Linked DNA regions of Arabidopsis thaliana. The protein of the gene in region 2 interacts with the protein of the main gene of each other region in a pairwise test. Each region holds a gene or a part of one and is shown on either strand. Other genes may lie near its edges. The genes, in order: AT4G23770 and bHLH121.

Evidence for each region.
Region 1: the proteins of bHLH121 (region 2) and AT4G23770 interact in a two-hybrid assay, tested with the Arabidopsis thaliana proteins (one large-scale study listed by BioGRID).

Annotation. Positions count from the first base shown.
Region 1 is NC_003075.7:12,378,686-12,394,903, forward strand, and holds AT4G23770 (uncharacterized protein), read right to left. Parts: upstream 5,812-16,218; 5' UTR 5,366-5,811; coding exon 5,041-5,365; intron 4,921-5,040; coding exon 4,829-4,920; 3' UTR 4,479-4,828; downstream 1-4,478. Other genes in the region: AT4G23760 (Cox19-like CHCH family protein), read left to right, coding at 3,160-3,432, 4,088-4,165; AT4G23780 (uncharacterized protein), read right to left, coding at 7,518-7,621, 7,700-8,114; TBL24 (TRICHOME BIREFRINGENCE-LIKE 24), read left to right, coding at 9,185-9,401, 9,805-10,097, 10,192-10,974; 3xHMG-box2 (HMG (high mobility group) box protein), read left to right, coding at 11,543-11,872, 12,296-12,705, 12,784-12,889, 12,974-13,039, 13,123-13,293, 13,382-13,467, 13,540-13,624, 13,715-13,831; WRKY53 (WRKY family transcription factor), read right to left, coding at 13,981-14,551, 14,651-15,054.
Region 2 is NC_003074.8:6,894,150-6,911,664, forward strand, and holds bHLH121 (basic helix-loop-helix (bHLH) DNA-binding superfamily protein), read left to right. Parts: upstream 1-9,607; 5' UTR 9,608-9,692; coding exon 9,693-9,840; exon of another isoform or gene 9,841-10,336; coding exon of another isoform or gene 10,337-10,418; coding exon 10,419-10,526; intron 10,527-10,607; coding exon 10,608-10,735; intron 10,736-10,995; coding exon 10,996-11,457; intron 11,458-11,546; coding exon 11,547-11,714; 3' UTR 11,715-12,058; downstream 12,059-17,515. Other genes in the region: PRP40C (pre-mRNA-processing protein 40C), read left to right, coding at 24-107, 708-848, 979-1,085, 1,344-1,464, 1,699-1,839, 2,246-2,392, 2,518-2,640, 2,824-3,078; AT3G19850 (Phototropic-responsive NPH3 family protein), read right to left, coding at 4,234-4,656, 5,670-6,848, 6,946-7,008; AT3G19870 (AP-5 complex subunit beta-like protein), read left to right, coding at 13,332-14,759, 14,951-15,390, 15,481-16,966; AT3G19880 (F-box and associated interaction domains-containing protein), read right to left, coding at 17,286-17,515.

The DNA.
Region 1 (16,218 bases), on a different chromosome or scaffold from region 2:
GATGGGTCAAGCTGGTCCATGCCTTGGTTTGGTTCGATCTGGTTCTTGATTGATTTTGGCCAGCGGATACCAAGTGAACCATCAATTGCAAAATGTTACTACCTGTCTATGTCAATATCTCTGTTCAGGCTCGGGCCAGCTTGCTTTTGCATGATTTTGGTCCACCACACCATGGTCTTATTTAAGGGTTGATAGAGCTTGTATGATCAGTACCTTTAAGGTGTGATTCTCGAAGAATTGTTGAGATGATTTACTTTCTTTCATGCATTGCTGCTTGGTTTGCTTATTTGTTTTTTTCAATTAGTTATCTCAAAAATATCTCTAAAATTTATAACCTTGTGAGAAGCTAAGGTTATTGTCTCACGAAGCAAGCAGTGTTCGACCTAGATGGATGGTAATCGTTTCTATCTTGTGGCTCTATTCCAATGGTTTACTATTTTTCCTAAATACCACTTTGTTTTCAATCCGAAATTTATACCACGTTACAAAAAAAACTTTCATAGAGACTTAGAGAGTGTGTTGTTTGATAAACCTTTCGTGTATTTTTTTTTTTTTTTTAATTATTATTTTAAAACTCTACGTAAACAATTTTAATCGCCATTTCTGAGAAAACTCAAAAGCAATAACCGATGTAATTGATAAAATAAAAATAAAAAATAACATTAAAAAGATTGAAAATACAGAGGAGATGCAGGGAAAAGAGCTGACGACACGTAGGCTAGAGCCGCAACTACTCGAGAAAGAGCATTGTCGTGTCGCTTTCGTTAAATACTACTGTACTATCTTTTTCTCTGCCCGTAAGGTTGGTTCAGAGGCTACTACATTTCTCAGGCCTTTTTTTTTTGGTTCTATATAAAACGTGAACTTAATTTCATGAGAAATTAAATATTTCCGACAATCTCAAAAATTACCCATGCAACTTGCTGATTATAATATTTTACGAGGAAGAAAATAGATATCGAAATGCTTTCAAACATTAATTACGTACACAATTCAATGACGTACGGCTATTATAAGAATCTAGATGCATAACTATATAGTAATATGTAGATACGAAAAAATGCGAAGTATTTAATACTTTGGGCCCCTCTTCCCAAAATGTTCATGTGAATTTCGTGATTATTCATGCATACTCATCAATAGACAATATGTAATGTCCATTCTATAAAATACTACATTTTAATCTTCGAGCTATAGAAGTATTTCAAGAATCATCAAGATAAAGAGAACAATTAAGAACTCAATCAAATTAAGGAAAAAAAATAAACAGTTTGCAGTGATTCACTAAATTGATAATTCAAATCTTGTGTGGGTTCAAACTTCAAATATTGGGCCGGGGGGTATTAAAGAGGTTTGTTGCATTTATATTTCGTTTATTCAAAAAACAAAAATAGTAAACAATCACATGACTTTTCCAGTGCCCTTTCCTAAATTCGTAAGGCTTGGCTTCAAGATGGTCATGGCCCATAGATGTATGCATATACACAATCATACATATACTATATAATGTATTGGTGTCCCCTCATGCAAAGATTTTGTTTGTCACAAAATTCCAGAGCTCTTTTACAAGATTTATGCCAAAAGATAAATGGGGACCTTTCATGAGAGATCTTCTCCATGATTTTCTAATTATAGTACTTTATAATATATCATGATAAACAAATCTTTGTGACACATTCAAGTATTCAACAGTCTGATACTTGGTAGAGAAGTAGAAAATTTAGAAGGTAAGAAAGAAAGAACATGGTAAAAGCAATTCTAACCATTCACGTCATGAGTTATATGATCTAGCTAACGTTCTCTAACTGTGTATTAACGACCATAACTACGATGACGCGTCTCAGATATGAAAATGGTACGGCTTTAGGATCCCGTGGTCCATCGAATCTTGACCGTCCACTTGGGTGGGGGCGTAATACCTGTTGGGCCATTGGATAAGCTTTTGTGGAATGGTGGAAATGAAACCAAGTGTTTCTTAGATCTTAAGAGTTATTGCCAAAAACCAATTTGTGAACCGGATCAAACCAGGATTCTGTTATATGTACCGGTCGGTCAACGACTGTCTTGGCCAAAACCCAAAAGGACATGGTTTCAAACTTTCAACGGATGTTTGACTTCTTACTGGTAAATCCTTTCCGTATGCATTATGCCTTATTCCGTATTTATTCCGTATTTTAGTTTGGTCTATCATCAGCCATTATATGTCTTTCACGTCCTGATGACATATTGATCTTGACTGAGATTTAGCAGAGATGTACATACGATAGTTTTGAAATGTTTTAAGAATGAATTCTGCATTAATTTTTCGTTAAGATACAAAGTTTTACACAATACATTATCTAAACCCATGATTCAATATAGAATTAGTTTTACTCAACCGACATTCTAATATAATCAAAAATTTGATGTGTGGTCGGATAGTGTACATATTTACATGGTCAAGATAAGCATACAAACCGTACAAATTAGAGGCATTAACATATATAGAGAATGTGGATAGTAAAAATACATGTGGAATAGAAAGTGAGTGAGACAGTGTCTCATGAAAAGTGGCAGAGACACATTAATAAATACATTAAAAGAAGGACCAACAAAGAAATTAAATGATGTCTAATTCATCTTCATATTTCACGTACCATTTCTCGTGCCATTCCCATGCACTTAACATGTTTGCTCTGCTTCTCCCTTTCAATTTTACTGAACTAACCTTCCAACTACCTTTTCGGTTATCTTCTCCATAATGTAACAATCTAATTTGAGTGTGAATATTGTACCATATAGGTGTTATAACGTTACTAGTTTTGTGACGATGGTCACGGCTTTAATAACATCATAAATATCCCCGAGATTTTGTGTGTGTTCCTCTATAAGAATTGGTGATCATGTAGCGAGTACTAATCAGCTTTTGATCAAAGTTAATGTTGTTAATATGTGATGGTTTGTGTAATCAACGTTTCAATATTATGTACAATTATTTAAATTATTGTGTTTCTTCTATACTACATCGTCATTCATTAATTTTTTTGACGATCTATCATCTACCAACCATCCACGACTATAATTGTATGTATATCAAATATTGTTCTGATAGTCAAAACATTATGGGCTAATTAAGAAGTTTGAACAAGAGTTAAAGAAAGCTTAAAAGGGCTTTGATGAATGAACTCAGATGGGCTTTATGGCCCATTAAAGATTTTGTTCTTTTTTGAGTCGTCGCCCCCGAGATCGTGGGTGATCCGTCTCACTGGAAACATCTTTGTCTCTCTGAGAAACCCCTCTTTAGGGTTTATACCTTCAATGGAGAAACAGAGTACTCAACCAATTTGCGGCCAAGAGGCTCTCCAACTTCTCAATTGCGTCGCGGAGTCTCCTTTCGATCAAGAGAAATGCGTCCGATTTTTGCAATCTCTCAGAGAATGCGTTCTATCAAAGGTTGGTTTTTTATCGCTCTAATTACTGATCTACGAGCTCGTGATTCATTTTTTTTTTATAAGTCAGTTGAATTTTTAGGACAAGGTATCTAAATTTTAAAATTCTATCATCGATCGATCAAGATATATCGAATCGTTATTGTCACTTATGCTTTATGACAATTTTGGAGCTGCTCTTGGTCTCTCATAGAAAACTTTTGAGAAATTATCACATTTTTTTCTACTACTGAGTAATGAATATGTAAATGCCAAGTTATTGGTGGAGCATTTGGAGCTTTACTTGATACATCTGTGTTAATAACTCTGTGGTTACACTTAACAGTTTCTGAGTGATTGTCATAGACACTAGGTTACTCTAAGCTAATACCCTTACTCTCGAGAAAAGTAGAAACAATGCAATGATGATTCTTGAGAAACTACAGATTTTCTTGTGGAAGCCATTAGAGAATGAGAAAGCTCACTATTAGTCTCTTTTTATAGGTAGCAATCAAAGTAGGAACTGGTTTTGTTCCCATTCTTGGTCTTGATCTTGATGGGTTATAACTTTTATGCGTAACATGGATCCTTACAGAATCACGTTTAAGTGCAAACTAGTGAAATCTCTCTATTTCTCATTGAAGTTTTTGGCTTTTTGTTTTGAACAATGAATGTTACAGAAAGTAAAGAAGTTCTCGATACCGAGTCAAGATCACGACTCTGAGGGAGCAGCTTCAGCTACAAAGAGACCTTCATAACGTTCTTTGTTCCGATTTTCTTTTATCGTTTGAGTTGTAATCATGTAATTGATTTTAATGTCATGCCTTGGATTCATAAGCTGGGTCATGCCTTGTTTCCCCTTTGTTGTCTTGTATGTTGAATATTGCAAACTCTAAAGAGCATATTTATAAGAAGAAATAAAAGTTTCTACATTTGACTTTCCCTCTTATTTTGGCTAATCTCTCATCCTCGATCGCTAACTTATTCAAATCATCTGTTGCAAACTACTTCTTTACTACCGTGTTGTCGATTTCATTCGTACAGATTATCTTTTTCGTTGATCAGATTCTCTTATTGCTCATCATCTTCAGATATTCATTAAAGAACACAGAACATGTTCAATCACTAAACTAATTCTTTTTCAACGGTTTATGGAACAATGTGAGAGTAGATTTAAGATGGAATCTGCTTCTCTTACTACCTTATTATGTGATACTAAATCCACTTAACATACTAACTTTCATATCTTAATCTCCTTACTCCAATAGCAAGAACAATGCAGCGGATATTCATAGTCATATACACCTACTAGAAATAAAAGCAACAAGAACTACTAACTTAAAAAGATTTGAAATTTCCCATTATCACCACTTCTGACTCTGTGCTTCTTCTCCATCTCCTAAATTGATTTCAGATCTTGATCAAAGAATGAAGTGGTCATGATCTGATGAGTTAATGAGTCTTCCTTTTCTTTGTCTTCGGTTTCCATCATCGTCCTCACTAGTCGACATATCTGCATAGAGATTTAGTCAGAGAACATGGTTTGATAGAGTAAGTGGACACACCACATATCAAAAACACTAAAATATCCCTCTTTGATAACTATTCTTCACATTAGGTCTATTTGCACTACCTGAATCCACACCGGTTTGAACATCAACAGACATTATGTATTCGATACTCCTTTCGACAGTCTTTAGCTTCTTCTCCATTTCACCAAACTTGTTCTCCCACTTTTCAATCACTTCCTTCTTCTCCAATGCTTCTTTTTGCTTAGTCACCAGATCTTCAACAGTGAATCCATGAGTTTTCTCTAGCAACTCGAGCGTTTTAATTAGGCTCTCATGCTCTATCACCAGACTCTCATACTTGTCTTTCAAAATCATGTGTTCAGCAAATGAAACATTTTCACACGATTTGTTGTACTTGTTCACCAATTGGTCCAAACGACTAGACATTGTTGTCTTTAATCAATTCAAGATTAACCTGATTAACAAAAAAAATTGGAAATGTGTCCTTAAAAAGAGAAACTTTAAAATCTACAAAACCCTAAAACTCAGATCTTTATTGAGCAACCAAAAACAAAACTAAAATGTTAGAGACAGTCCACAAGATTCGGTCTTTCTCAAACGGATTCACACCATTTTTGTCCTAAACCCAAACCGGAACCAAAAGAAACAGAGAAAAAAAGGATTTATTTTTCCTGAGAAAATCTTACTCGGAAAAGAAAAAAGTCGATCTTTTTCTCAGTTACAAAGAAAGGAGCTCGGGTCGATGATAGAGACTACGCGACAAAGATGGAATCGTATCAATGGAACCCTAGAAAACAGAGAGCGGGAAAAGGCGAGACGAGTGTTTAGTAACGAAGAAGATGATACTTTATTTCATTTTCCTTGTTCAAAAATAATATTTAAGTTTTAATCTCCACCACTCATTTAGCCAAGTGGCCCAAGCCCATCTTCACCAGTTGATACACTCTTCTTGTCTCCTTCAACTTTACTTTAGTGATTGGTTTTAGTGATTAACCATATTCCAGATTTTATATGCAGAGACTTAGGGTCCGAATGGTAACCGCTGTTTTTGTTGTGCGGGGAAAGCGTTATTACACTGCGGTACGGTTCAACTGCGGTACGTGCGGAAGAAATATATTTGCAGAATTAGTGCGGTTTGTACAAAATAAACGGTACAAAATAATGTTTGATTGGTGAAAAAAACTACTTGCAGTGCGGATTATAAATTATATATATATATATTAATTAATTATTTTTTTGTGTTAATAAATAAACAATAACAAATATTTATAAACTACTAACACAAAAATTGATCAAAATATAAATTTAATTTTATAACAAACATATCGTTACATGTGTTGACTAATTTCATCATAAAAATATTTAAAAAATATTATTTATTAATTTGATTTTCCCATAACATATTTGTAATATTGTCTCTTATTTGCGTCATATGTTTTTTATTTGTTATCTCTGTTACTTCTATGTCATCTAAATCATGATCAAAATCTCTATTATTTTTATTTGTCTCTGTTATTACATTTGCAAAATCTGCATCTGAAAAGTTTGAAATTATGTAATCTCATTATAGCCATTACCACTTTTTTTTTAATACGAACATTATATTTTGAAAAATCAGAAAGAATCCTCCATTTTTTTTTCCAAACTCCAAAAGTTCTCTATATAATAGAACCTAAAGAAAAGTATGATGATGTCGAAAAAAGAGAGAGAAAAAAAAAGACAGGTTATAATAAAGCGAAAGAAAAGTTTAGATATGTTTATTTGGGTAAAAAATTATATATATAATTATAAAAATGCTTCTAATAATTAAAAAATACAATAAAACATATGTGTAAAATTTACTGCGGAATTGGTTGGACCGCATGATTATGGAAGTTTGTTGTTTTCAAAAGCGGTCTGTAAGTTTTTAGCTTATTTTGAAAAACGCGAATAGTGTTTTGATAGAAAAGTAAAAAACGTGTATATGTAATAATTAATGGTGATTGGTAACAATAGTGCGGTTTTTCGAATTAGGTGTTGAAATCCGCAATTTTTGTGTCGCCAATCACAACCTTATATACAATACCTTTGCTTGAAGACCTTTCCGTTTGAAGAATGCTTTGAGGGCAATACTGGAGTTAATCCCTCTCTTGTTGAAGCACTCTATGATTGCAGAAGTAGAGTGCACTTGGATCAAAAAAGGTACAAAGTCAAAAAACATCATTTTGAGGCCAAAAAAAAATGAGGACCTTGTACTTCCCTGTCCTAAGCTATAATCATCTCTATCTTCCAAGAGGAATAAACTTATCATCAGATTCAATGAATATCATAAACTAGCTAGTTATTTCAATTTTTGTTTAGTTGTTACTATATAGAACAATCTGAAAGTAGATTAATGATGCAAGCTGCTTCTCTTACAACTTTGTGTTGGGCTAAATCACTTATTACACAGTTACACTACAAACTTTCATATCTTATCAACCCTCCTAGTCCATCAGAGAGACTCATAGTCATCTACTTCTACTAACTTCCAAAGATTTTGAAACTTCCAGTTTCACCACCACATCTGACATTGTGCTTCTCCATCTCCACATCTTGATCACAATATGAAGGAGTACTCTAAATTCTTATGTGATGAGTTACAGTTTCCTACATTGCTTTCACTTTGGGTTCTTTCATCGTCGTCACTAATCTCTATCACATCTGCAAATAGAAACATGTTTAGTTTATGTAATGCTAACACATTTAGTTAGACACATATCAAAAAACACTTAAAATTACCCTCTTGTGATTCAAACTTGTTCACATTACGTTTGTCTGCAACTCTTGCACCACTTGGTCCTGAACTCATACCATTCATCACAGTTTCTTCACAAGACTTTAAGTATTCAAGATCCTTATCAAGCATCTCTTGCATCTTCTTCCTTTCACCAATCTCCTTGTCAAACTTTTCAATCTCTTCTTTCCCAACCAATGCTTCTCGCTGCTTCTTCTTCACTAAATCCTCTAATGTGATTTCGTGCTTCTCTATAAGCTCGAGTGTTTTGATTAGGGTTTCATGTTCTTTCACCAGATTCTCGTGCTCTGTCACCAAACTCTCATATTTCTCTTTCCAAATCTCGTGTTGAGCTAGTGGAACATTATCGGAAAATTTGTTATTGCTGTTCTTCTCCGATTGGTTCCCAAGACTAGACATTGGTGTTCAAGTTCAAGCTTAAGCCTGTAAATAACACAAAATACACAAAACCACAAAGATTTTCTGAGAAATCACTCGCAAATTAGAAACTTTCACACAGTCTCACTCTACAAAAACCCTAAACCCCAAATCTCCACTGAGCTACCAAAACTAAAATGTTCGCAAAAAATCGAAAGATTCAGACTTTCTCAAAAGTATTCCTATCAGTTTCTCCCAAATGCAAACTGAAAACTAAAGAAACAGAGAAAAGGAGTTTTCCCGAGAAAATCTTACTCGGAAAGTAAAATTGCTGATCTTTTCTCGATCACAGAGAAATAAGCTCGGTTAGATGAGAGAAATTGTGCAGAAAAGGTCGAATCGTAACAATGGAACACAGATTAATGAGCCCTAGAAAACAGAGAGCGGGAAAAGACGAAAGCAGAGAGTGGAAACGTTAACGAAGAAGATGGATAGTTAACTAAATTAATTATCATTATTCAAAAATTAATATTTATTTTAGTCCCAAATCATTAGCCCAGCGGCCCAAGCCCATTATCAATCAAACACCAAGTATTGCTGTCTGAACTCTTTTTTTGCCTTTCCTTGTTTTCTACTCTTTCCATGTTAATTAATTACACTTCTGGTCTCCTAATTAGGTGATCCTTCATATCAATGGATTTGAATGTATTTATATGAGATGATATTGATCATAAATGTCTGAAAATGTGCTTCAAGTTTTGGAAAAAGATGTATAACAATATCGTTAAAAAATTTACAAATCTGAGTATTTTAGTGTAATTAAACTAACTAACTAAGGAAATCCTTTTATAAAATAGTGTTTGAAGGAATTGAAACAAACATTATATCACCAGTCTGGTTAATTGTGTGATATAAACAGATTAATAGATTAATACGTCTCTATTCATTATTTTACTGTATGGTTCTTTTTTAGAAATGGTCGAATGATTTAGTAACATATAATAAAGAAAAGTCCCCAGAGCTTTGGTCGGTCGAATAAACATAACACACAAATACCAAAAAGGCAAAAACAACTCACTGAACTGTTTGCATATCTTCATCTTCTTCTTGAGATGAAGTTGAAGTTGTCATCAATCTCCATGAATCATAAGAATGTGCTTCTCATCAAGCTCATCTCCGCTATTCTGATATCTTTTTTCGCGTTCCGTCTCTTCATTCTCCACTCCAGCGAGTTTTCTCCAATCTTTGCGTCGGTCACCGGAAAATTCGAAGCTCGGTTTCTGCCGCCGGAGATTATCGTACCGGAAAATGAAGATCTGATTCCTCAAGGTAAGATCAGTTATTTAGAAAGCAAAAGTATTTGACTTCTATGTGTATTGTCCACTGTGTTTGACTGTTTGTGACTAAACCTTGTTTTGTGAGCACAATTATGATTTATGAGATCTAAGGGTTTTGGATCTACAAGATTTAAAGCTCTGTTTACGTTTTTTTTTAGATTGTGGTTTAGAGAATAGAAAAAAGGAAATGACAATTCATGGATCTTGCTCTTCTAATTTAAAGTTATTCTTGTGGTGACTTGTATCATTTGATAAGTGATGCTAATTAGCTGCAATGTTCAAAGACTGGTTTCTAATAAATTGATCTTGGACTAGTGTTACAACATTTTGTATCAAAGTTGATCTCACATTGAGACTTAATTTTTTTTTTGGGTGGTTGTTGTTTCTTGAATCAGATATTGAAGTAGAGAAGTGTGATCTTTTCGCCGGAAAATGGATCCCAGATTCAGTAGGACCAATCTACACAAACAAATCATGCGGATCACTCATTGACGGTCACCAAAATTGTATCACCAATGGCCGGCCTGACTTAGATTTTCTCTACTGGAAATGGAAACCTCATGACTGTTTGTTACCACGTTTTGACCCTAGAAGATTTCTTCAACTTATGAGGCATAAATCTTGGGCATTTATTGGTGACTCCATATCTCGTAACCACGTCGAATCACTGCTTTGTATGCTCTCTACGGTATAACACTTGCTTGCTTTTAACATATCTTTGTTTCGACTTTTTTTACTTTTCAAGTTCTTGAGAAACTCATTTTTGTTTGGGGTCTCTCCAGATTGAAGAACCGGTTGAAGTATACCATGACATGGAGTACAAATCAAAACGTTGGCATTTCCCTTTACATAACCTTACTGTATCCAACATATGGTCGCCATTTCTTGTTCAAGCCGCTATTTTCGAAGATTCTAACGGTGTCTCGACCGCTTCTGTTCAGCTACATCTTGATAGACTCGATGAGACATGGACCAGTCTCATGCCTAGCTTCGACTATGCGATCATCTCAACCGGTAAATGGTTTCTTAAATCCGCAATTTACCACGAAAATGCAAAACTCGTCGGTTGCCATAACTGTCAGGAAAAACCTCACATAGAAGAGTTAGGATTCGACTATGCTTATAACGCATCGCTGCATAATGTCATGGACTTTCTAGCAGCTGAAGATAACAGTAAAGGCACGGTTTTCTTTCGGACTTCGACTCCCGATCATTTCCAAAACGGGGAATGGCATAGTGGCGGGACGTGTAAGCAAACAGAGCCGGTGAGCGATGAGGAGATTGAGATTAAGGATGTACATAAGATACTAAAAGATATTGAGATTGATCAGTTCAAGAGGGCGGTTAGAGAGAAGACTAACCAGGACGGTGGGAATCTAAAGCTTTTGGATTTCACCCGGATGTTGCTGACCCGACCGGACGGTCATCCGGGTGAGTACCGACAGTTCAGGCCGTTTGATAAAGACAAAAATGCAAAGGTACAGAACGATTGTTTGCATTGGTGCTTGCCTGGTCCGTTTGATTACTTGAATGATGTTATATTGGAGACTATAGTAAATGGCTGAGAGGCACACAAAATGTGATTGGTACATGGCCAGTGGAAAACCGGTTCTATGGAAATAAATAGACTAATACTGAACAAATTTGTGTGAATTGGAAACATGTAAAATTATGTAAGAAAAATTGAGATAATGTGATATTGATTCTTGGGAGCTAGCCGGTGAAGGAAGCATAACCGGTTTGGTAATTGAGTTAATTTTTTCCGGTTTTGTAAAATCATTATTTATGTTTTTTTCTGTTTACACCAGATTTTGTCCGGTTGAAATCGGTTTAGATCTCACTGATAAAGTGATAAGAGTTAACATTTCTTAAAGATAAACAAAATCCCTCAAAAAAGGAAATTAAAGAAATATTCTTCCAACTGTTGAAAATTCAAAAAGATTAACAATTTACAAATATATCCTCGGACGCCAAAGAAGTATCAAATCCACGAAATATTTTTTTGAATTTCGAATTTATCAGACCGTTGTGTTTCTTTCTATATAACCCCGAAGATATTTTACGGAGGCTCCACCTAAAATTCTCAATCCCTAAATTTCGAAATCTCACTCTCTCTCATTTTCGACTTTAGAAATGGCGACCAACGCAGATCCAGCTCCGACGAAGAAACCAAGGAACAGTAGAAAGGCGTTGAAGCAGAAGAATGAGCTCGTGGAGACGCCACCATCGCCTGTCTCCGTCAAGGGGAAGTCAGCGAAGTCTTTCGAGCAAGATCTGATGGAGATGCAGACAATGTTGGAGAAGATGAAGATCGAGAAGGATAAGACGGAGGAGTTACTTAAGGAGAAGGATGAGATTCTGAGAAAGAAGGAGGAGGAGCTAGAGACCAGAGACGCTGAGCAGGAGAAGCTCAAGGTGGAGCTGAAGAAGCTTCAGAAGATGAAGGAATTCAAACCTAACATGGTATAATCTCTAGATCTAGCTTTTAGTTCTCGATTTGGCTGGGTTTTGTGATTATATTGGAATTTATTGATTGATCATTTCAGATTTTGGCTTGATAGTCAGTTTCTAGATCTAGGTGTTTAGATTAGGTTGGAATATATCTGGTTTATGCTTATTCCGAATGTGTTATTGATCATTTGAGATTTTGTTTTGATAGTTGATCAAAGTTTCGTCATAGATTCATAGGTTAGAGATTAGAATCTAAGTCAGAGTCAGGATTGGTTCTCGTTTAGTGTATGATGCGTTTGTTGTTGACACAGTTGCTAATATAGTGATATGTTCATTTCAATTGACAATTCCTTGTTATCTGTTGTTGATGATGAGAAAATATTTACTGGTTTCTGGATATTGATTCGAGAGTGTTTTGTGTTTTTTGCTCTTCAGACTTTTGCTTGCGGTCAGTCATCTCTCACACAGGCTGAGCAAGAAAAGGCGAATAAGAAGAAGAAAAAGGATTGTCCTGAGACAAAGCGACCATCGTCCTCATACGTTTTGTGGTGTAAAGATCAATGGACTGAAGTCAAGAAGGAAAACCCTGAGGCTGACTTCAAGGAGACTTCGAACATTCTGGGGGCTAAATGGAAGTCTCTTAGTGCAGAAGATAAGAAGCCTTACGAGGAAAGGTACCAGGTTGAGAAAGAAGCTTACCTCCAGGTCATTGCTAAGGAGAAGCGCGAGAAGGAGGCCATGAAGCTTCTGGAGGATGACCAGAAGCAGAGAACTGCAATGGAATTGCTTGATCAGTATCTCAACTTTGTCCAGGAAGCTGAACAGGACAACAAGAAGAAGAACAAGTAAAAACCAAAAGTCTTAGTGACTATATCAATTTGATCATCAATAGTAAACTAACTAGAGCTGTTTATGGTTTGCAGGAAGGAGAAGGACCCTCTGAAGCCAAAACATCCCGTATCTGCCTTCCTTGTTTATGCAAACGAGAGGAGAGCTGCTTTACGCGAAGAAAACAAAAGCGTCGTGGAGGTAAATCTAATTACTTAATTCGTTCTCCAGATCAGTTTTTGTCAAATTGTGAAGCTAACTTATGGAGTTTAAATGTGGTTATAGGTCGCAAAGATCACTGGAGAGGAGTGGAAGAACTTGTCAGACAAGAAAAAGGCACCCTACGAGAAGGTCTGTTTCCATACAAATATGCTTGCATTTCACTGCCATTAAAGACTTAAGACTGAATGATTGAGGTATTCTTGTTTAAATAGGTGGCAAAGAAGAACAAGGAGACATACCTGCAAGCAATGGAGGAATACAAGAGGACAAAGGAAGAAGAAGCCCTGAGTCAGAAGAAAGAAGAAGAGGAACTCTTGAAACTCCACAAACAAGAAGCTCTTCAAATGCTTAAGAAGAAGGAGAAAACTGATAATCTGATCAAGGTAATAACTCTCTCTCACTCACACTTAACTCACCAAGGTCTATTTCAACTCAGAGACTCACAGGATCATAATTATTTGTCTCTTGCAGAAGGAGAAGGCGACCAAGAAGAAGAAGAACGAAAACGTTGACCCTAACAAACCAAAGAAGCCTGCTTCTTCATACTTTCTCTTCAGGTATGAACTTACTTCAAGTTATAATCCGAATTGGTCTTTATAGAAAGTTCCTAACTTATCATGTTTTTACAGCAAGGACGAAAGGAAGAAATTGACAGAAGAACGTCCCGGGACAAACAACGCTACTGTTACTGCTCTCATTTCACTGAAATGGAAGGTATGAAAAATCACAATTACTAGCAACAAAACACATTGGCTTGTAACAATTTCCTGTTGTTAATCTATCTGTGCGAATACGTCTTTGCAGGAATTGAGTGAAGAAGAGAAGCAAGTTTACAACGGAAAGGCCGCAAAACTGATGGAAGCATACAAAAAGGAAGTGGAAGCTTACAACAAGAAGTCTGCGGCTACTACCAGTAGCTAGATAAATCTCTCTTAGTATTGAAATCATGTTCAAGTCCTGTTGAACATTCCTTATTATGCATCGTTAGATTACTCTAAGTACTTTTATGTTTTAACTCTCGCTGATCATTACTTACTAGTTACTATCTATTTCTCTGTTACAAATTTTAATTAATAATAAATCGACTCGTGTAAAAACGCGGGGAAAGTTGTGTCAATCTCGACCGTTGGATTGAACCAGTCAACAACGTCGAAGATCGGAGAACTCTCCACGTGGCCGAACTCGCCGTTGATAGTTCCGTAATTGTAAAACGGCGGCGTATCAGGGAACGAGAAAACGTCTTTACCATCATCAAGCCCATCGGTTCGAACGGTTAAGTTGGATTTAAGACTCTCGAGAATATCCTTTGGCTTTTGGGTAATGGCTGGTTTGACTCTGGTGTCTTGTCGCTTCTCCGGCGAGGCTAATGGTGGTGTTCTTGTGATCGCCTGCGAACAAGTGTGTGTTCCTCTGTACGTCACTTCGAAAACCGTAGCATCCCCGTCTGATCTCTGGACTTGTTTCGTTGCCCAACAGTTTTGTGTGCTACGATGTGTGCATCTGTAATAACTCCTTGGGAATTTGGCGCCTAAAATGTCTTTTTGACCATATTTTCTCCAGCTAAAGACATCATCTTGAGGTCCTTCTAAGCCTCTCTCTGGGCTTATTCTCACTTTTTCTGACCACTTTGGTAACATCTTTCTGCAAAAATTACCCAAATTTCAAATTAGTTTCTAGAAAAAATGAGATTTTTAAATTCAATTTGGTGAATTGTGAAAAAAGATATCAACAATTTGTTACCTTTTCTTTGAATTGAAAATGTAATCTTGGCGATGATGACTCTCGCTAGAACCTCCTCCATCGGCAAACTCTTCACTTCTCGGACTTCCGTTTATCGATGCCGGAGATTCTGGAACACTGCCGGGATTTGCCACCGGGACTACAGTAACCGGCGTCGGAATAAGTTGTACGCTCGGTGAGGATGACCAGTTTAGCAGAAGAAGAGATCTCTCGTAGGAAGAAACTATCTGCTTCACCAGAATCTCGTTAGTCTCAGCAACAGCCGTCGCCGGTGATGAAAATGATGACGACGGCGACGGAGCTTCTCTAAGTCGTGCCTGAAGCTTTTTGGCCGCATCAAATCCATTGATAAGCTCGCTTAGCAATGTCTTTTGCTCCCAACTTAACATATCTCTTCCTTCCATTTTTAGTATATGATTCCCAAAATAGATTTTTTTTTTCCTTTAGGTAGTTTACTCTAGGAAATTGATACAAACTATGATGAGAAAGATGTATAATGTGTGTTTTAAGTATAAATCAAGAATTGGTTATATAGATGGACTGAAAGAATGATATGATCAGAAAAATATAATGTGTGTTGAGTATAATTAAGAATGGGTTATATAGATTGAAGAATGATATGATGAGAATGAGAGTGTTATAGGATTGGTGATAAAAATGGATGAGTGTTGGTTTGGTATATAAAGGCATTGGATTTTCAGTGTTTGAAAATTTGACCAAATGACCAAACCATAAATAATTATTTTATTTCTTTTTAAAAGAGAGACAAAACTTTCAAATTGAAGAAAAGTCTTTGGTATAAGGAAGTATAGGGCCAGAGTGTAATTGATAAGTGGGGTGGTGGTAGTGAAAGAGTATAAGGTCAAAGGCTGACCAATTCAACATTTCAATTTTGTTAATGTAGTTGTAACCAAGTTTATCATTTATTTAACTATAGTGGGTTAATTATATAATTAGACAACAAAGGGTTATACAACTGTCTCTTTCAATGTACACTTTCAAAACTACGACTTTGTACATGTGATTAAGATTCTCTATTATTATATGTTTTTTTCTACTGTTAAAGAATTTCCAATATATGTTTTTTATTTGATTAAGAATATTTTCAAAATATGTTGGTTGATGCTTTACTAGTATGCATTATGCAACAACCTTTCTATGGATAATATTTCATTGCTATAACTATGAATTGTAATGATGTTTAATATCATTAATAAGGGAAAGGATATTCCACATTCTGTTTTAAGTACAAGTATCAAAACACATATTGGTAATTTGGTATAATACAATTCTTATTAACATTCAATAGATTAGCAATAACATAAAAATTATGTTGAATGAAATTTACTAAGATTTGATTGTTCTAGTTTTAAAATCATACACTTCTAAAAATAAGATATAAAATAAAAATCTGATGAGGATTAATTAATCTGTACAAAATTTCTTCCTAAAAACCCCTATATGTTTTTGTTTTGTGTCAATATATTTAAGCATACATTTGTTCAAGATATAATATTGTATTAACATGAAAAAATATAAATTTGTTTGGCAAAGAAAATAAATAATAG
Region 2 (17,515 bases):
TTTTTTTTACTTGATCCTTGCAGGAAATGCTGAAAGAGAGAGGAATAGCACCGTTTTCTAAATGGGAGAAGGAATTGCCAAAAATTATCTTTGACCCTCGCTTTAAGGTCTGTCAAGCCTAAAGATCGTGACAATATTTTGATATCTTATTCTATTTTGAAATTCCACGTCCATTGTTTCTTTCCTTGCATGCGTTTGCAACTTGCACATTTCCAGTTAATGTTATTTGCGTCTATGTCAGCATTGTAACATCCATTCGTTTTGGGTGCTCAAATAGAGCACAAATTAAAGTTTCCTATAGATTTCCTAGCTCGGTGTAGAAAGAAGTTTACATCTATATTACATTTGGAAACAAGTCTTTCACTTTACTTATATTAGAGTCCATAACTAGTATCCTCACTGATTAATTGTTCTGATGCCTTGTATGCTAGCTAAATGATTTTCTGTAGAGAAAGAGTATGCCTTTGGTTCCTTCCAATGTTAGCTAAGTAAAGTTTTGAGGATGTTAGAGCCATTATGTGATATAGTTTATTCACTCCACCCATAATATGTTGTGTCGCCAGAAACTTCATTCTTATTTGCTAATTAGAATGTTAGAGGAACTATTACTGTGTTAATTTTCCAGCATTCCTGTTACAGTGCCACAGCTTGATCTTTGGACTTTTTCGATTATGTATTTTTATCCGGAGAGTTCATTTTTCTTGCAGGCAATACCAAGTCATTCTGTTAGAAGATCATTATTTGAGCAGTACGTAAAGACACGAGCTGAGGAAGAACGTAGGGAAAAGCGTGCTGCTCATAAGGCAGCTATTGAAGGTTTCAGGCAGTTGCTGGATGATGCGTCTACGGTAAATCTTTTTAAGGAACTGAATGTATTTTTACTTTGAGCTACCTGACGTCTTTAAACATTTTTATTATTTGGTTTGGGATGTTCTCAACTTCTATATCTCTTGTGGGAATGTATCCTCATTTTTCCAGGACATTGATCAACACACTGACTATCGTGCTTTTAAAAAGAAATGGGGGAATGATCTCCGGTTCGAAGCAATTGAGCGTAAGGAGCGGGAGGGTTTACTGAATGAAAGGTACCAATATAGATCTTGAGATCATATTCTATGTATGTTGGAAAGTTTGCTTATAGCCTTCAAGTTTACACTGGATGTGTCTTTCCCTGTTGCTTTGTGATGTTTTGGTTGTAACTGCAGCGGATCCTTTTGGGGAAGTTTTTCCTTGTACAAGAATGATATGCCCTTTATGATTTTATTTGTCTTCATGTGAGTTTTTGAGTGTTTGATAGTTTATACACTGTCTTGGCTCTTATATTTTCCCTGGTTCTGTTGCAGAGTCCTTTCTTTGAAACGAAGTGCTGAACAAAAGGCACAAGAAATTCGCGCTGCTGCTGCCTCTGATTTCAAGACAATGCTACGGGAAAGAGAAATATCAATAAATTCACATTGGTCCAAGGTATGTAGCATATTTGTTTCTATCCTTTGCGACCAAGAGAGATAGAGTATGGAAAATTTCTAAAGTTTTCAGGAACTTATGGTGTTTGAGGAAATTGTAATATTTACTTATTGAAGTTACAAGTATTAATTTTATGTATCTTATCTCTTATCAAATACATCATTTGATTGGCACCATTTATAACTGGTTAGCATATTCATACCACCTATATGATATATTTCCATATTTTATCAGGTGAAGGATAGTCTGAGAAATGAACCAAGATATAGATCCGTTGCGCACGAGGATAGGGAGGTTTTTTATTATGAGTACATTGCGGAACTAAAAGCTGCACAAAGGGGAGATGATCATGAGATGAAAGCCAGAGACGAAGAGGTAAATTAACTTTTTATATTCACAAATTACAATTCATGAAAAGCGCTAGAAAGTTCCACAATGTTTAAGCAGCCCTCTTATACTTTCTTTTCAAAGTGAGAATATTCACGTATTCCCTGTTTTCTGGCATGTTATATTACTTGATTGTTTGTTCTAATTTGAGAGACTTTGGAAAATATTATTATCATCAGATTCTCTGCATGCTATTGCTAGTGGTGCAGGAAGAAACAAGTTGTAAATTAGCGAATGTTATAGTTTGCTATACAAGATTTTTGGATCTCTTTTGTTTATGTGCCTGGAATCCAGCGTAAAAAAATAAAAATGATGTTTTACTGGCTATAAATGTGGTAAACTACATAGACACATAATGTATTTACGTCTGTGTGATTCCTGAATTTGGGTTCAGGACAAACTGAGGGAACGGGAGCGTGAGTTGCGGAAACGCAAAGAAAGAGAAGTGCAAGAGGTGGAAAGGGTACGACAAAAAATTAGAAGGAAAGAGGCAAGCTCCTCTTATCAAGCTTTGTTAGTGGAAAAAATCAGAGACCCTGAGGTATTTCTACTTCTTTTATGTAGCTAGCTAAAAGTTTCATTTGGGCTAAAGATGTTAGTTTGTAAATTGTTTACTCTGTGGGGATTCTGATTGGTTTTCTTTGTTACTTTCTTCAACATCTGAAGGCATCATGGACGGAATCTAAGCCAATACTTGAGAGGGATCCTCAAAAACGTGCCTCTAATCCAGACTTAGAACCTGCTGATAAAGAGAAGCTATTCCGAGACCACGTAAAGTCATTATATGAGGTACGTGTACTACTCAACTGTAACCCTTACCAAATCAAATTCTCAGCATTTTCTGCAACAAGATCAGAACAAAACTTAGTGTCAAGGACCTTTTCGGCTTATCTCCTTTTTGGTTGATTTGAGGAAGGAAATATACTATGGTTGCCTATTTCGTCTAAATGTTTTTCTTATTGTGCTTCACAGCGATGTGTTCATGACTTCAAAGCTCTTCTAGCTGAAGCGTTGTCATCTGAAGCAGCTACTCTACAAACAGAAGATGGAAAGACTGCGCTTAATTCTTGGTCAACGGCTAAACAAGTACTGAAACCCGATATCAGGTACAGCAAGATGCCGAGGCAAGATAGGGAAGTCGTATGGCGTCGATATGTTGAGGATATATCGAGGAAACAGAGACATGAAAACTATCAGGAGGAGAAACAACGAGATTACAAGACCTAAAAAAAACCTTGAACCAATAGGCTCTACCCCATGGCTTGATATGTTGTGAACAAAGATCACCATGTCTTGTTGGTTTTTTCCCTGTTTGTTAACTGTAAACTAAATAGTTTTTTTTCATGTTTCTACTTTAATTTTTCCGAACAGTATTGTTTCTGTCTAAATGTTTGATTTGGTAAGATCTTAATGTATACAATTAAATAAGATGTAGGTTTGTTTTTGCTTTGTCCAAAAATTTAAGGTTTGGAGATGGGAATAAGAAAATGAAGATTAAAAACGTTACTCCGAAAATTTTTAAGATTTACTTAAACCGTTTTTCTGAAAATTATCAATCAAATTTTTTATTCTGTAGTTATCACTTGTTAGGCTACGATGTAGAATCTACTAATATTGACAATCTAAAAAATATGATACTCTTTTGGATATATATTAATCATTACTACAGTTCAATCTATATGGTACAACTTTTATTTTCGTGCAAACAAAAAAATAAGAATCTATGTAGTACAATTTGGTAAATTGTATAGAGTGGAATGTTAGGATATGACAATTTTCAGTCTACGTCTGTGGTGTAATCTCAATATCCATGAATTTCAAGAATATCAAATCTGGAGGGGGGCATGTGACGTATATAGCCAAGAAAATATTTTCTCCCGTGATTTGATTTTGATTTTGAATTGTTTTGTATGCAATGCTCAATGAATTCAAAGGCCAACTTGTTCATCTATTAGTTTCTTTCGATCAGCATTTTTATTTTTATTTTCTAAAGAACCAGAAATCCAAATTTGAAGTGTATCCTATAATATTCGAAATCTGTACTTGTTATGTGAACTTGCAGTGACTAAAGGAAATGTGCGTCGTATAACAGAAACTGATTATTTTTTGTTTTCTACATCCTCTGAGCAAATGCCTCAAATCTAAGAGCAAATATAGAACGTATTTGGAAGTGTATAATCCATGATTACTCAAATTACAAAATATCCATTTTATTTGCATCCACAAGGACATAATTATATGCATTCTCAAAACTACGTAAAATACATTTTGCATGAAAAAGCTTATAATATACACGAGACGTGCATGTGTGTGATGATGATATGATGACATAAAAATCTATATCTAGAGAAATAAGAAAAAAATGACGAGTGAATTAATTATTTAACAAAGCCTTGGAAAACTAGAACTTGAATGTGTATGTCCATGTCTCACAGATCTTGACATTACTTCACTCTTCTTCTCCTTACTAACTTTTTCAGAATTATTCCATTGCTTCCTCTCCAAATTCATCATTAGATCATCTTCAAACTTCTCCGACATATCAAAACCTTTCAAACACACCAGTATTGGTTTCTCTTCTAAGTACTTACGTGAATTCCAGATCTTGTTTACTTTGTTCTTGTCCTCTCTTGAGTGTGGTCGAGTCTCGTTTGATAATTGTTGTGACTTGAGTGCTTGAACTGCAATATTTGGAGGGATCTTGGGATTTTTTGCAAGTTGTTTGCATGTGTCCAATGTCAATTTCTTGTAGTTTAGACATCGACATAGTTTTGTTCTATCCTCGGATGATAGTTTCGGATGAGACTGCATAATCATAGTTTATATTAGTTCATGCCTTCAAAATATATTGACTAAACAAAACCAATTATATAGTAAAACTGTAAAAGTACTAAAAAAGCAAGAAGACGCCATATTGATTTTTCTTTTCTTTGCAAGATCACATTAAGCTTAATTAGATTGAACATATTTAGTTTTCACGTGAAACTAATCTTGTTCTTCTTATTTAGAAACTTAATAATAATAAATAATTAGTCAAACAAAAGACAAAGTAGCTAGATTCTGATCACATGAATGTCCAGTAACCAGGACAATATATAACACAGTAATTACTCATTAGCACCCTATTCTTTTATTTGTTTACTATTTATAACCACATAACATGTTTATTAATTAATGTTTTTATCAAACAGTATTCGAAAATTGCAAACGCAAACATACAAACCAATCAAAACGTCTGTGTGTCGTATTTGTGTTTGCAAATTTCAAGTGAATGTTTGATCAAACATTAAAACTGTTTTTTTTTTTTTTGTTAAACAACGTTAAAACTGTTATGCTTTTAAAATACAGACAAAATATTCTAACTAGTAGAACACAGAAATCCAAATGTAAATGATTTGCGTTTGAAAGTTTCAATATAATTCCACTTATTTAAGTTTTAGGACAATTATTAAAATTTTGCCACCAAAGTTACCACTAGTACTTCAACGTGTATGAAAGTAGTATGCACATATATATGCAATTTCAGATTTTCGAATCTTTAGATATCACAAATAAAAGAAAGACAAAAAGATAAGTTAAACTCTTTCATCTATTCTCTTGAGAAGTGTAAAAAGCCAAACTATATAGAAACTTGTATACTTCTTGTCATCTTCTATTTCACTCTATTGTTTGTTTTCTTTTGCTAAATCTCTACTTTGTTTGTTTTTGTCTCATTTTGTTCAATATCTTTTTTTCCAAATCAACGTGCAATTATTTGGAAAATAAATCTATTAAAAAAAAACAAGAAAAAACAGAAATGTAATGAGTGAAAAACTGACCTCAAGATAGATGTTAATGGCTCTGTATAATCCATCAAACCAATCTCTAGCTGAATCTGGCAAACTCTCTGCAACTTCAAGAAACTTTGACACTTTAAGATTCTGGTCTGGAGATATCTCTCTGAGATACTTATCAATCAACTTCCCAATTCTTCTCATTCTCAAATTCTGATCTCCTTCTTCTGTGTTTCCAATTCTTACAAACACTTTGAGTAATCTTATCACCAAATCCACATCGTAAACCCCTTTTTCTCCTTTTCCTCCAGCTGGTATCAGAAGATCATCAAGTGTTGCTTGATCCAGCATTTCTCCTATAACCCTCTCTAAACCAATTCTTGATTCTTTACTTATGCTAAATCCCGATAAAACTCGCAGAACCCAGAACATTTTTCTGCATGAAAACGCGGTTTTCGCTGCGAAAACCACTCCTTGAACCGCTGTATCAGCTAAACCTGAATACTCGAGCTTGTTGGTTGACTTGTTTGGGACCTTTGTCTTGAGGTAATGGAGAAGAAATTTTGTGAGGACCAAGCTGTCATTGTTCTTATCATGCGCACCAAGTGTATTTATCAGCTTTTCAATGATTTTTGGCCCGAGAATTGACATATCGTCGAACCACCACTCGTTACTTGTCCTGCAAGAAAAAGACCTCGAAGTAGACCTTTTGTCTGAATACGACCTAATCATTGCCGTCTCCGGCGACTGAGAGGAGGCTGAGGCAGAGGCAGAGGAAGACGGAGAGGATGATGAAAAGACATGACTCACGTCTGAATTCTGAGGGATTTTGGCTAAAACCCCGAAAACAAGCTTATCAACAAGACCGTAAGAATCAGCGTGTAAGAACACTTGCTCGCAGCTCTTGAGACACAATACGATGTCGTTCCAGGACCAGTAGAACATTCCTTCTAGAAACTTCTCTGTTCGAAGCAAGAGATTCGAGGAACAGAGTTTCTCTGTCATCTCAAGGAAGACAGAAGAGCAATGCAAAATGGACACATTTGAGACATCTATCGAGATTCCTCCACCATAACAGAATCTTAAAACCAAGTCGAACCCATCTGACCCACCTGGAAAATCTTCAACCTCGATGATGATTCTACTGTTCTTGTGATTCTTTTTCTTCTTATTGCTCTGTTTTATCATCTTCCTCAAGAAGCCTGAGTACTCTGAGATCAAATCCTAACCCAAGAAACAGAGAAACAGAGTTTAATTCAGAAAATGGAAACAGAGGAAGTTAGGGTTTGAATTAGTGTGGAGATTTGATTTGGTTTATTACCTGATTGACGAAGAAAGTAAATTGGTTATTGAGATTGATTTGAAGATCACAGCAAAGAGACATTGTATCAACTTCTTTTGCATTTGGTGAAGATGAAACTTCTTGTGAGCTTTCTTGTTCTTGTTCTTCCTTTTGGATTGGAGAGAGAGAGAGAGAGCAATAATAGTTATCACATGGAAACGGCTATTTATATATCTCTTTTTCGGCGTCTTTATTTCAATTATCTAATGTACACTTTCTTTTATCATCCTTTATAACTCATATAAATTTATGCAAAAGGAACTTATATACAAACGTCATCGAAAAATTGTATAAACTGGTCGCATGGACCAACTTGTAACCCTAGTGTGTAGACCATCTAAAATAGTGAAAATGTAATAATTTGTTGCCGTTTGTAATGAAAAAATTATTGTTCGTTATTGTTTAGTTTTTTTGGTATTAGATAATAAGATTCATTGCTTAATCGAAATGTACTATATGATATTAATTTTGGAGCAATTAGCTTGACATGCATAGTTTACTTCTTTACATTAGAAAACCTTTTTTCTAACATCGAACTTAAGAAAAGTTATATAAACTGCATTAATTGACTGCATGTTTATTTTGAAATCCATATAATCTTGTGTGCAGAGCACAAATCAATATGACGAGGCGTTGTTAGTTGTTACTAAAAATAACCAGGTGCAAAGATTGATTCCTTAATGCTTCATTGATCAGGATGGCCAAAAAATAAAATAAAAATTGGTGTTAGAGGAAGAAAAAAAAAATACAGTAGGTGGGTAAACAAACAGCAGGGAAATAGCTTACAATTTGTTGAGAATAATTCATAATTATGACCAACATTATTCAGGTTATTTGGGGTAAAGTAAAAATGTATTGCATCAAATCAAATAAGATTTACATTTTAGACAGTGAACTATAGGTCACGACTAATATCAAATATATATTTCCAGTAGCACAGAAAATGATGCTTCATGAACTCTCACTTATGACTTGTCAATAGCTCAAGGACTATGCTACTCAAGTTGTAATATATATATTCTGTATTTATATGCTGTTTTATACACACGTAACGTATATATGAATGTGCCCCCTTTGTTTTTATGTGAATTATAAATATTCTCCCTTTCTTGGCATTACATTATAAATTCGTAATACTATTATTCCACTTCCATGTAATTTCAAGAGTTTTCTTCCCTTTTTATTTGTAGAATATTTATATATCAGTTGCTTGTAAAGTTGGGAGTTTCACTTTCATTGCATGTGAATGGGCCGGGTAGGGTTTTATGACTCTAACGTTTGTGAATAAAGTCGACTACTTGCTTTTCATCATTATCCAAATCCAGCCATGTAAAATATATGTAATTGAAAACGATATATGTAACAAAAATGTTATAAAAAAAAGATACACCAATGTCGATATACATTACGACTCTTTGAGTACAAAATAAAAAAATATGACTAACTTCCGATAATAGTTTTTATTTATTATTAAAAATGAAGTTTCCAAATAAAATATCATTTTAATATCCATACAAATTATGAATAGTATGTGAGGTTTAGGGCAAAGTCTTCTGAGGGTTCATCAATGGGATGGGAGTGGGACGAAGAAACGAAGGCGACGAGAGGATTTAGGTTTTATTGTTTTAAAATTTTTGTGCTCTAGTATTTAAGCCCTTTAACAGGATTTTACAGGGACCAACAAAAATGTAAAGCCCCAAAGGAAGAAGCCCACTTAAAAAATACTAAAGTAAAAATAAATAATTAACAGGCCCATTTGGCCTCATCGACTAAAGCTAGCCCAAAAAGAGGATACAATAAAATTACATAAATTTTGTGTCCTTTTCGATTTAACTTTTTCTTTTAGAAGAACAATCCTTTGTTTTTTTGTGCAAATCTTTAGAATCTCGAGACCAAAACTTAAGTAATCATCAAAAATTTTGTCAAGTTTACATTTCTATGCCAAAAATTATACAATATCATAATGTTCAAGCAGTGCTCTAGAGAGCAAGAAAAAAATGGTTAAGACATAAAAACTAGTCGGCTAACACTGTTCAAGAACCATGATTTATTTGCTTCATCAACGAACTGATTATAATTCAAATATTACAACAGAGCGGCAAATCATTCGAAACGCGGTACGAACATTAAAATTTGATGTGCATTTTGGCCAAAATATTTGTTGATGGATTCAATTGGGTAGTGGAAGAAGAAACTGTCAAAGTACACCTACTTTGCAGTCAAGTTGTAAGAACATAAAGTACGTATTTTTTTACAATTTCTAAATATACTAAAAGCTTGCAGAAAGTATGTATATCTAGAAGTACGTATCTCTTACGTTTGTGAAAACTATTTTTATAATTTGACAATTTTAAATGATTTGATTATTACACAAAAATAGTCGAGGTTATGTAAAAATATTTTTTAAAATTTTCGATATTTTGTCCGGTACAATTATGTCACCATCTCGATTCAAGATATAAAAGAGTTAATTTAGTTTCACAATAAAAATCTCGTACTTACTTTTCAAACTTTATAATTGTGTTGGATAAAAAGTACAATTGAATCTTTTAAAATCAACAATGAGTGTCTGTTTTGATAAATGCATAAATTGGAGTGAAAAGAAAAAAACAATTCCAGCTTTTGCGAAGTTGGACATATTAAATTCTACACAATTGTTTTTTTTTAAAAATACAGAATTGTAGATAGAATGAATATTGTTTTTTTTAATTAAAATAATTGAAAAAATGGGGATAAGAGAAAATGGAATAATGCTTGTGAGCAGAGAGAGAGAGCGAGCGAGGAGGCTAGAGAATCGAGAATCGATCTTCGCCGAACCACCTTGTCTTCTCTTAGCTCATCGAATCTCTCCGTCGCCGTCGATTCTTCCCGCCGGTGAATCTCTGCCTTATTGTTTTCTTCAATTTGATCGTCCTGAATTCATCGTCCTATTTAGGGTTTCGATCACAATCTGGTACTTCTCTTAATCAAAGGAATTTTTATTTTGATTTTGAGGGTTTTATTGGTTTGAACTTAGCTCTCTAGCTCGTGAAAGTGTTGTTAGTTCGTCGTGGAAATCAATTCCTTCCCTGTGTTCTTCTTCAACAACGTTTAGTAATTTTTTCGTAGATGTTTAAATCTCTAACTTGTTGATAGAGATAGATGTTATTATTGCCAAATTAGGTGTACAAAAGAATGTGGAATTTTCTGTTTGAGATTAGCTTCTCTAGTAACCTTCTTTGCAATTCATGATGCCAATTGCTAAGTATGTAACTATGTCTGGTATGTGAGCTGGGATCATATGATACCTGACTATCGACTCAAAGAGAATTATGTTAAGTCAATCAAGGCTTAGTTCTGAGGCTACAGTGTGTGTGGTCGATGTGCTGTTATGGTGGAATTGGATACTAAAATATGTCTAAGAGTGGGACTGCAATATGACCTTCTTAGTTTATTCGATGTTTTGGTTGCAGAAGAGGAGGTCATGGACGTTTCTGCTAGAAAGTCACAAAAAGCTGGGCGCGAAAAGTTGAGGAGGGAAAAACTGAATGAGCATTTTGTTGAACTGGGAAATGTACTCGGTATAGACTCAATGGTTATGTGGATTTTTCTAAACAGCAGATGATCTCACTTTGATCCTCACATAGCTCTTCTGTTTGCAGATCCAGAGAGACCCAAGAATGACAAAGCCACGATTCTGACTGATACTGTTCAGTTGTTGAAAGAGCTCACATCTGAAGTCAACAAACTGAAATCTGAGTACACCGCATTGACAGATGAGTCCCGCGAGGTTCGTACCTTATCCCTTACGCTCCAGGCTTTTCCTAACAGAAAAAATTAGCAGTCTACATGACGTAAAGATATCGATAGGGATCCCAATATAGATAACTCATTGTCTTTTTGCTTTTACGATATGGTGACTACACCTATTTCGTAAGATGCAAACTCAGACGGGCTATATAATGTAACTGCTTATAGGACTTGTTGTTATCATCAATAGCAACACTTACAAATTTACTGGTACTTGTATAACAACGGTTCTTTCTGTAGTTGACACAGGAGAAAAACGACCTGAGAGAAGAAAAGACATCGCTGAAATCAGATATAGAGAATCTCAATCTTCAATACCAGCAGAGATTAAGGTCAATGTCTCCATGGGGAGCTGCGATGGATCACACAGTCATGATGGCTCCACCACCCTCCTTTCCATACCCTATGCCTATTGCTATGCCTCCCGGGTCAATCCCAATGCATCCATCAATGCCATCTTACACATACTTTGGGAACCAGAACCCTAGCATGATCCCAGCTCCATGTCCTACATACATGCCCTACATGCCTCCTAATACAGTCGTTGAGCAACAATCCGTGCACATTCCACAGAACCCCGGTAACCGTTCTCGGGAACCTAGAGCAAAGGTTTCAAGAGAGAGCAGATCTGAGAAAGCAGAGGACTCCAACGAAGTTGCAACACAACTCGAATTAAAAACCCCTGGATCTACTTCTGATAAGGTAGAGAGACTTAAAACTAGAAGCTAGAGATCTCCAATTTTTTTCGGATTTATTATCTTCACAGTTATTCGCGAAATTGTATTTTGAAGGATACATTGCAAAGGCCAGAGAAGACAAAGAGATGTAAGAGAAACAACAACAACAACTCAATAGAAGAAAGCTCTCATTCTAGCAAGTGTTCATCTTCTCCGAGCGTACGAGACCACAGTTCTTCCAGTAGCGTAGCTGGTGGCCAAAAACCTGATGATGCAAAATGATTCGAAAGAATCTGATGTTGATCATCTCAAGTATCCAAGTATCGTTTCGATGAGTACTGTATATAGTGCGAGTACAAAATGCACTTAGCTGTTTAAAGCAGTGTTTTGATGCACCGTGGCATTCGTTTTCCTCGGATAGTCATTTCTCAGATGATTTTCATCCTTAATAGGTCTGCTTTAGTTCTAAAACTCGGATGATTTGTAATTTCCAGTGTCCAAATCTACTAATTTTATTAATCCTATAAATTAAACAAACTTATATCTTGATTTTTTTTTAAAAATCATAGATTATTTATACTATTGTACAAAAAGAATTACATTTAAATCGGTAAATATAGTTTCACCATAAATATATGGTTTCATTAATATCATAAATTAGTAATGATATAGATATATCAACAATATATATTTATATATATATTATATGTAAGAAATTTCTTTGAAATATATTTTTAATATTTAGTTCTCATTTGTACTTATTTGAATTTAGTTCTAATATTTTACTGTATCAAAAAAAATTTGGTGTTATTTTTTAGACATGAGAATTATTTTTTACTTATAATTAGTTATAAAAAAAATATTTTTTATAATGAAAGAAATCTTATAGTAAAAAATTACTATGAAAAATTTCTTTATAAATTAATAAAATTTTAGAATCCCAACATTATTAATTTGTAAAGGTTTTACTGTAGTTAAGTTCAAGTTCAATTTAAGCTGGTGCTAAACGTTAGCTACGTGTTCGTATGATGTCAACTGTCTAGATACAGGAAAATTTCTCCGAATATACAGCGACTACACATCAACCATAGAGAACAGTATGAAGTAAATATACCCTCTATCCATCGCATATGTAGTTTGTGGGAGTGCTCTGTTGGTTTCGCTTTCCTCTGATGTTGTATACCCTGTATTGTCAAATATGACTGCGACACGGTTCCCACTCATCTCATAGACCGCTAGATAATAGTCTGCATGTATATAAAATAATTGTTAAAGACAAAACATAGGGCATACCCAATATCCTTTGTGCATAGTATTTAGTATGTCATGGAAGTTAACTAGGTCTTTGAGAGTTCGAACGCCATGAAGAGCAAAAGAAAGAGAGGAAATACGGAAGAGAAAGACAAAACAAACTAAAAACCAAAAGACATTTGACCTATCGTTTCTGTTTCACAGGACGACCATAAGATGTAAAAGTCTTGCCCATCCATTCCACAACCCATTATCGATTCACAAGGCAACATAAGAAGAAGTTTACATTTCGATGAGCTAGAGCAATTCTCTAGCGCAGATCACAAACAACCAACTCCAACCTCTGGTTATACTATCCAAGATTTTTACAGGATGGTGCCTGAGGCTGCCAGGTTTCGAAGGAATAAAGAGTTTTGGTGTAGCAAGAAAAATTAAGTTACAAGACACTAATTATATTGTAGATAGAGACAGAATTGAAATAAAATATGGAACATAAATAAATAATTAGATAAATGAGTCAGCAGCTTCGGTGAATTGTTCTGTATCTCGGAGTATTACTGCCGGCGACGAGGATAGTCTTATCTTCTCCTCTCTAATGACTTTGATTCATTTTCCTCTTCAGATTCAAATCCTAGATTCAATCGGAGAATGACCACGACGACGCCGGAGAAGACTCCGGCGAGACCTCTCTCTATCCAAGATTGGGACGTTCTCATCGACGACTTCCGCGACGCCGGCGCTCCTCGCGACTGGTTCACTTCCGTTTTCCAGATTGATTCTCTGGTGGACTTCGCTCTCTCGTCTCTCCTCAAAAAAGACTTCCCTACACCAGTGAAGCTCTCAATCCTAGTCTTTCTCGATGAATTTTCCCCGATTTTGTTTGATAATTGTGGTAGCGATACCTTTGATCGCTTCATCGATGTTCTCCGGACGATCGTGCAATCTCCAACTGATGGATCGTCAGGATTGAAAGAGCAAGCTATGGTCTCTTTCACGTCTGTGCTTGTATCGATTGATTCTTTCTCTGTAGGTCACGTTGAAGCAGTTGTTGATTTGCTTCTTGCGCTCGTTAATCGTCCTAACCACGGATTTGATCGACAAGCTCGTGCTATCGCCTGTGAGTGTTTACGTCAGCTTGAGAAAGCTTTTCCTGGTTTGTTATCTGATGTCGCTGGTCATCTTTGGTCGTTGTGTCAAGCGGAGAGAACTCACGCCGTGCAAGCTTATCTTCTCTTGTTCACCACAATTGTCTACAATGTGGTTAATCAGAAGCTTAAGGTTTCACTTCTTAGTACCTCTGTACCTTTGGTGCCTTTTAATGCTCCTAATTGGATGCGTGATGAGAGTTCGATTATGAGTCAAGGTCAAGGGTTGGGGCCAGATCAGAAGGAACTGAGACGAACATTGGCTTTTATGTTGGAATCTCCGTATTTGTTTACTTCTTGTGCTATGATGGAATTTATGGGTATGGTTGTGCCACTTGCATCGGCGTTGGAGTTACAGGCTTCTATGTTGAAAGTTCAGTTCTTGGGGATGATTTATTCGTTTGATCCAATGCTTTGTCATGTTGTCTTGCTTATGTATTCTCGGTTCCCTGATGCGTTTGAGGGACAAGAGAAAGAGATCATGAGACGTCTTATGCTCTTTTCAAAGGAGACTCAGATCTATCTTGTTTTCCGTTTGCTTGCGCTGCACTGGTTAATGGGTTTGTTGAATAAGCATATGTTGAGTGGGGAGCTTGAGAAGAGGACATCTGTTCTTGAGATGGGTCAGAAGTTTCATCCTGTCGTTTTTGATCCACTCGCTTTGAAAGCGTTGAAGCTTGATCTGCTGGTACAATGCTCTGTGAGTTCCAACGCTTTGAGTGGAGGTGATAACAGTAAATCTGCTGGGGATTTGTTGCAGGACTGCTTGGTATCGGTTTCGGATTTCAAATGGTTGCCTCCATGGAGCTCAGAAACTGAACTAGCATTCCGCACTTTACACAAGTTTCTGATATGTGCATCTACACATTCCGACTCTGACCCTTCCACCACTAGAATCCTTATGGAGTCTAGCCTCTTCCAAAACGTGCAGGTCTGTAGCTCTCTTTACTTGCTTCTTGGTCTTGCTTGATGATGGTTTACTTTTGCTAGTTTTCAGAAGGAACGGAACTGTGTGGCCCTTTTTAGTTCTAATTAGCTTTTAGTTCAGGAACCAATCTTTTGCTGATTCTGCTCTCAGATATACTCTTCATTTGTTTTGATTGTCTTCTATATTTAATTCAGGGGTTGCTGGTAGACATGACTTTGGAGTTTCAAATCTTGGTCCCTGTTATTGTGGCTTTTATTGAGCGGTTGATTCACTGTCACAAGCATCAGTGGTTAGGAGAGCGGTTTCTTCAGATAGTCGATGAGAATCTGCTTCCCAAACTTAAGAAAAAAAACTTATTAACAGCTTACTTCCCGCTTTTCCATCGAATAGCCGAGAATGATACAATACCTCCTTCTCGATTGATAGAGCTGCTTACGAAGTTTGTAATTTCACTTGTTGAGAAGCGCGGACTTGATGTGGGGTTGAAATTGTGGGATCAAGGAACTGAAGTTCTTGGCATCTGTCGAACATTGATGAGTCACCATAAGAGCTCTAGATTATTTCTCGGACTCTCTCGCCTTCTTTCCCTCACATGTCTCTATTTCCCTGATCTGGAGGTCCGAGACAATGCTAGGTATGACCATGACACCCACGTAAACGAATCTTTCTAATATTTATGAATTGTGATGACGTTAACTCTACCTCATAAATTGGTACATTGTAGGATATATCTGAGGATGCTGGTCTGTATACCAGGACAGAGAATTAAGAACATTTTGAAGCCGGCAGATGCTGTCACTCCATCAACCCATTCTTCTACATTTTTTAGTGTTCAAAGTCCTCGTTTTCGTCATGATCCTAGTAAATCTCGGAACCTTTCATCCTATATTCATCTTGAACGGGTTACGCCCCTACTCGTGAAACAGTCATGGTCATTGTCTCTACCATCTCTAAGTGTTGGAACTGATGGATATAGCATTATAGAAAACAAAATCCAGGTAGATGAAGTTGAGCCGGATGGCAGTCAAGAACTTCAGATTTTGCCAGAAGCTCGAAGAATTGAATCAGGAAAACCTACGTTAAGGGTAATGGACTCAAAGATTGCAGAGATTCTAGAAAGATTAAGAAGATATTTCTCTGTGATTCCTGATTTCAAACACATGCCAGGAATTAAGGTTAGAATAACGTGTACTTTGAGATTGGATGCTGAACCATATAGCAGTATATGGGGAAGTGAAACTCAGAAAATCGATTTAGAGAAAGTCGACTCACCTCCTGCGATTTTCGCGACGGTGCTCAAATTCTCATCTTCAGCCCCTTATGGCTCTATTCCCTCATGTCGCATACCTTTCCTTCTCGGTGAGCCTCATTGGAACAGCAATGTACCCAATGAAGAAGTTTCTTTAGACATTGTCGTGGTAGAAAACACACTGAAAGAGGAGGAAAAAGATGGCTTGAGAGGAGCACCTGTAACAGTGGAACTGGAACCTAGAGAACCTACACCAGGTTTGGTCGAGGTTTCAATGGAAGCAAATGCAGAGAATGGTCAGATGATTCAGGGAAAACTCGAGAGTGTCCCTGTGGGGATTGAAGACATGTTCCTAAAAGCTCTTGCTCCACCGGACGAACCTGAAGATACAATACCGAGCTACTACTCAGATCTATTCAATGCTTTGTGGGAAGTGTGTGGTTCTTCGTCCAGCACTGCACACGAAACATTTGCACTAAAAGGTGGCAAAATGGCTGCAGCAGTCAGCGGGACTCGGTCAGTAAAACTGCTTGAAGTCCCTGCGGAAACTGTAATACAGGCCACTGAGCTTCGTTTAGCGCCCTTTGTGGTGGCTATCAGTGGAGAACAGCTTGTAAACATTGTAAGAGACGGAGGAATTATTGAGAACATTGTGTGGAAGGAAGAGGAAGAAGAACAAGGGGATCACACAAATGCGGACCAGCCTTCTTCATCCTCGGTGGGATTAAACCGAGGCCCTCTTCGTCTGACATACATTGGATATGGAGATGACCAAGAGGTTCCGATGACGAGAAGTAGGGGGAAAATGGGAACGATAAAGATGCTGATGTTTCTGCCGCCAAGATATCATCTAATGTTTGAAATGGAAGTTGGGCAAGGATCGACATTGGTGCATATAAGAACAGATTATTGGCCTTGCTTAGCTTATGTTGATGATTACTTAGAAGCTTTGTTTTTGTAATAATAGCAGAGACTTTCACTATTTTCTTCTTATTCTTTGGGCCCAACCTACATGTAAAGTTTTACCCAAACGAACAAACACAAATTCTGTTTTTTGAGAAGTTTATTTTTATTGGGATAAAGTAGGAACTAGTGCAAGTGAGATGGTTCTAAAGTTAATCTGTATCTTTGGAAGGCCATAAATGACAAAGTTCTAAAACTGTTGTTTAACTAAATAGAAGAAGAAAAGAAAAAAAACTATTATCATAAAAAAAAAGCTAGTAGGTTAATGTTTAGTCTTCATGTACTCGTTTAGTGGTAAACCTTGTTGGTTCGGTCCCTCACACTTCTCTACCCTTTCCTTTGCTCTTCCTCTTCCTCTTATTCTCTCTCCTTTTGGGTACTGCAATTTGGTTGATTTGCACTAAACTTGGAACATACGAGCTAAAACACACAATTGGGCTACGCAATGGTTTACATTCTCCAAGATCCACTTCTTTCAAGTATCTATCTTCTCCAATAATGTAAGCTGTTTTGTAGCATTTTGATTTGTTTGAACTAAAAACCACCG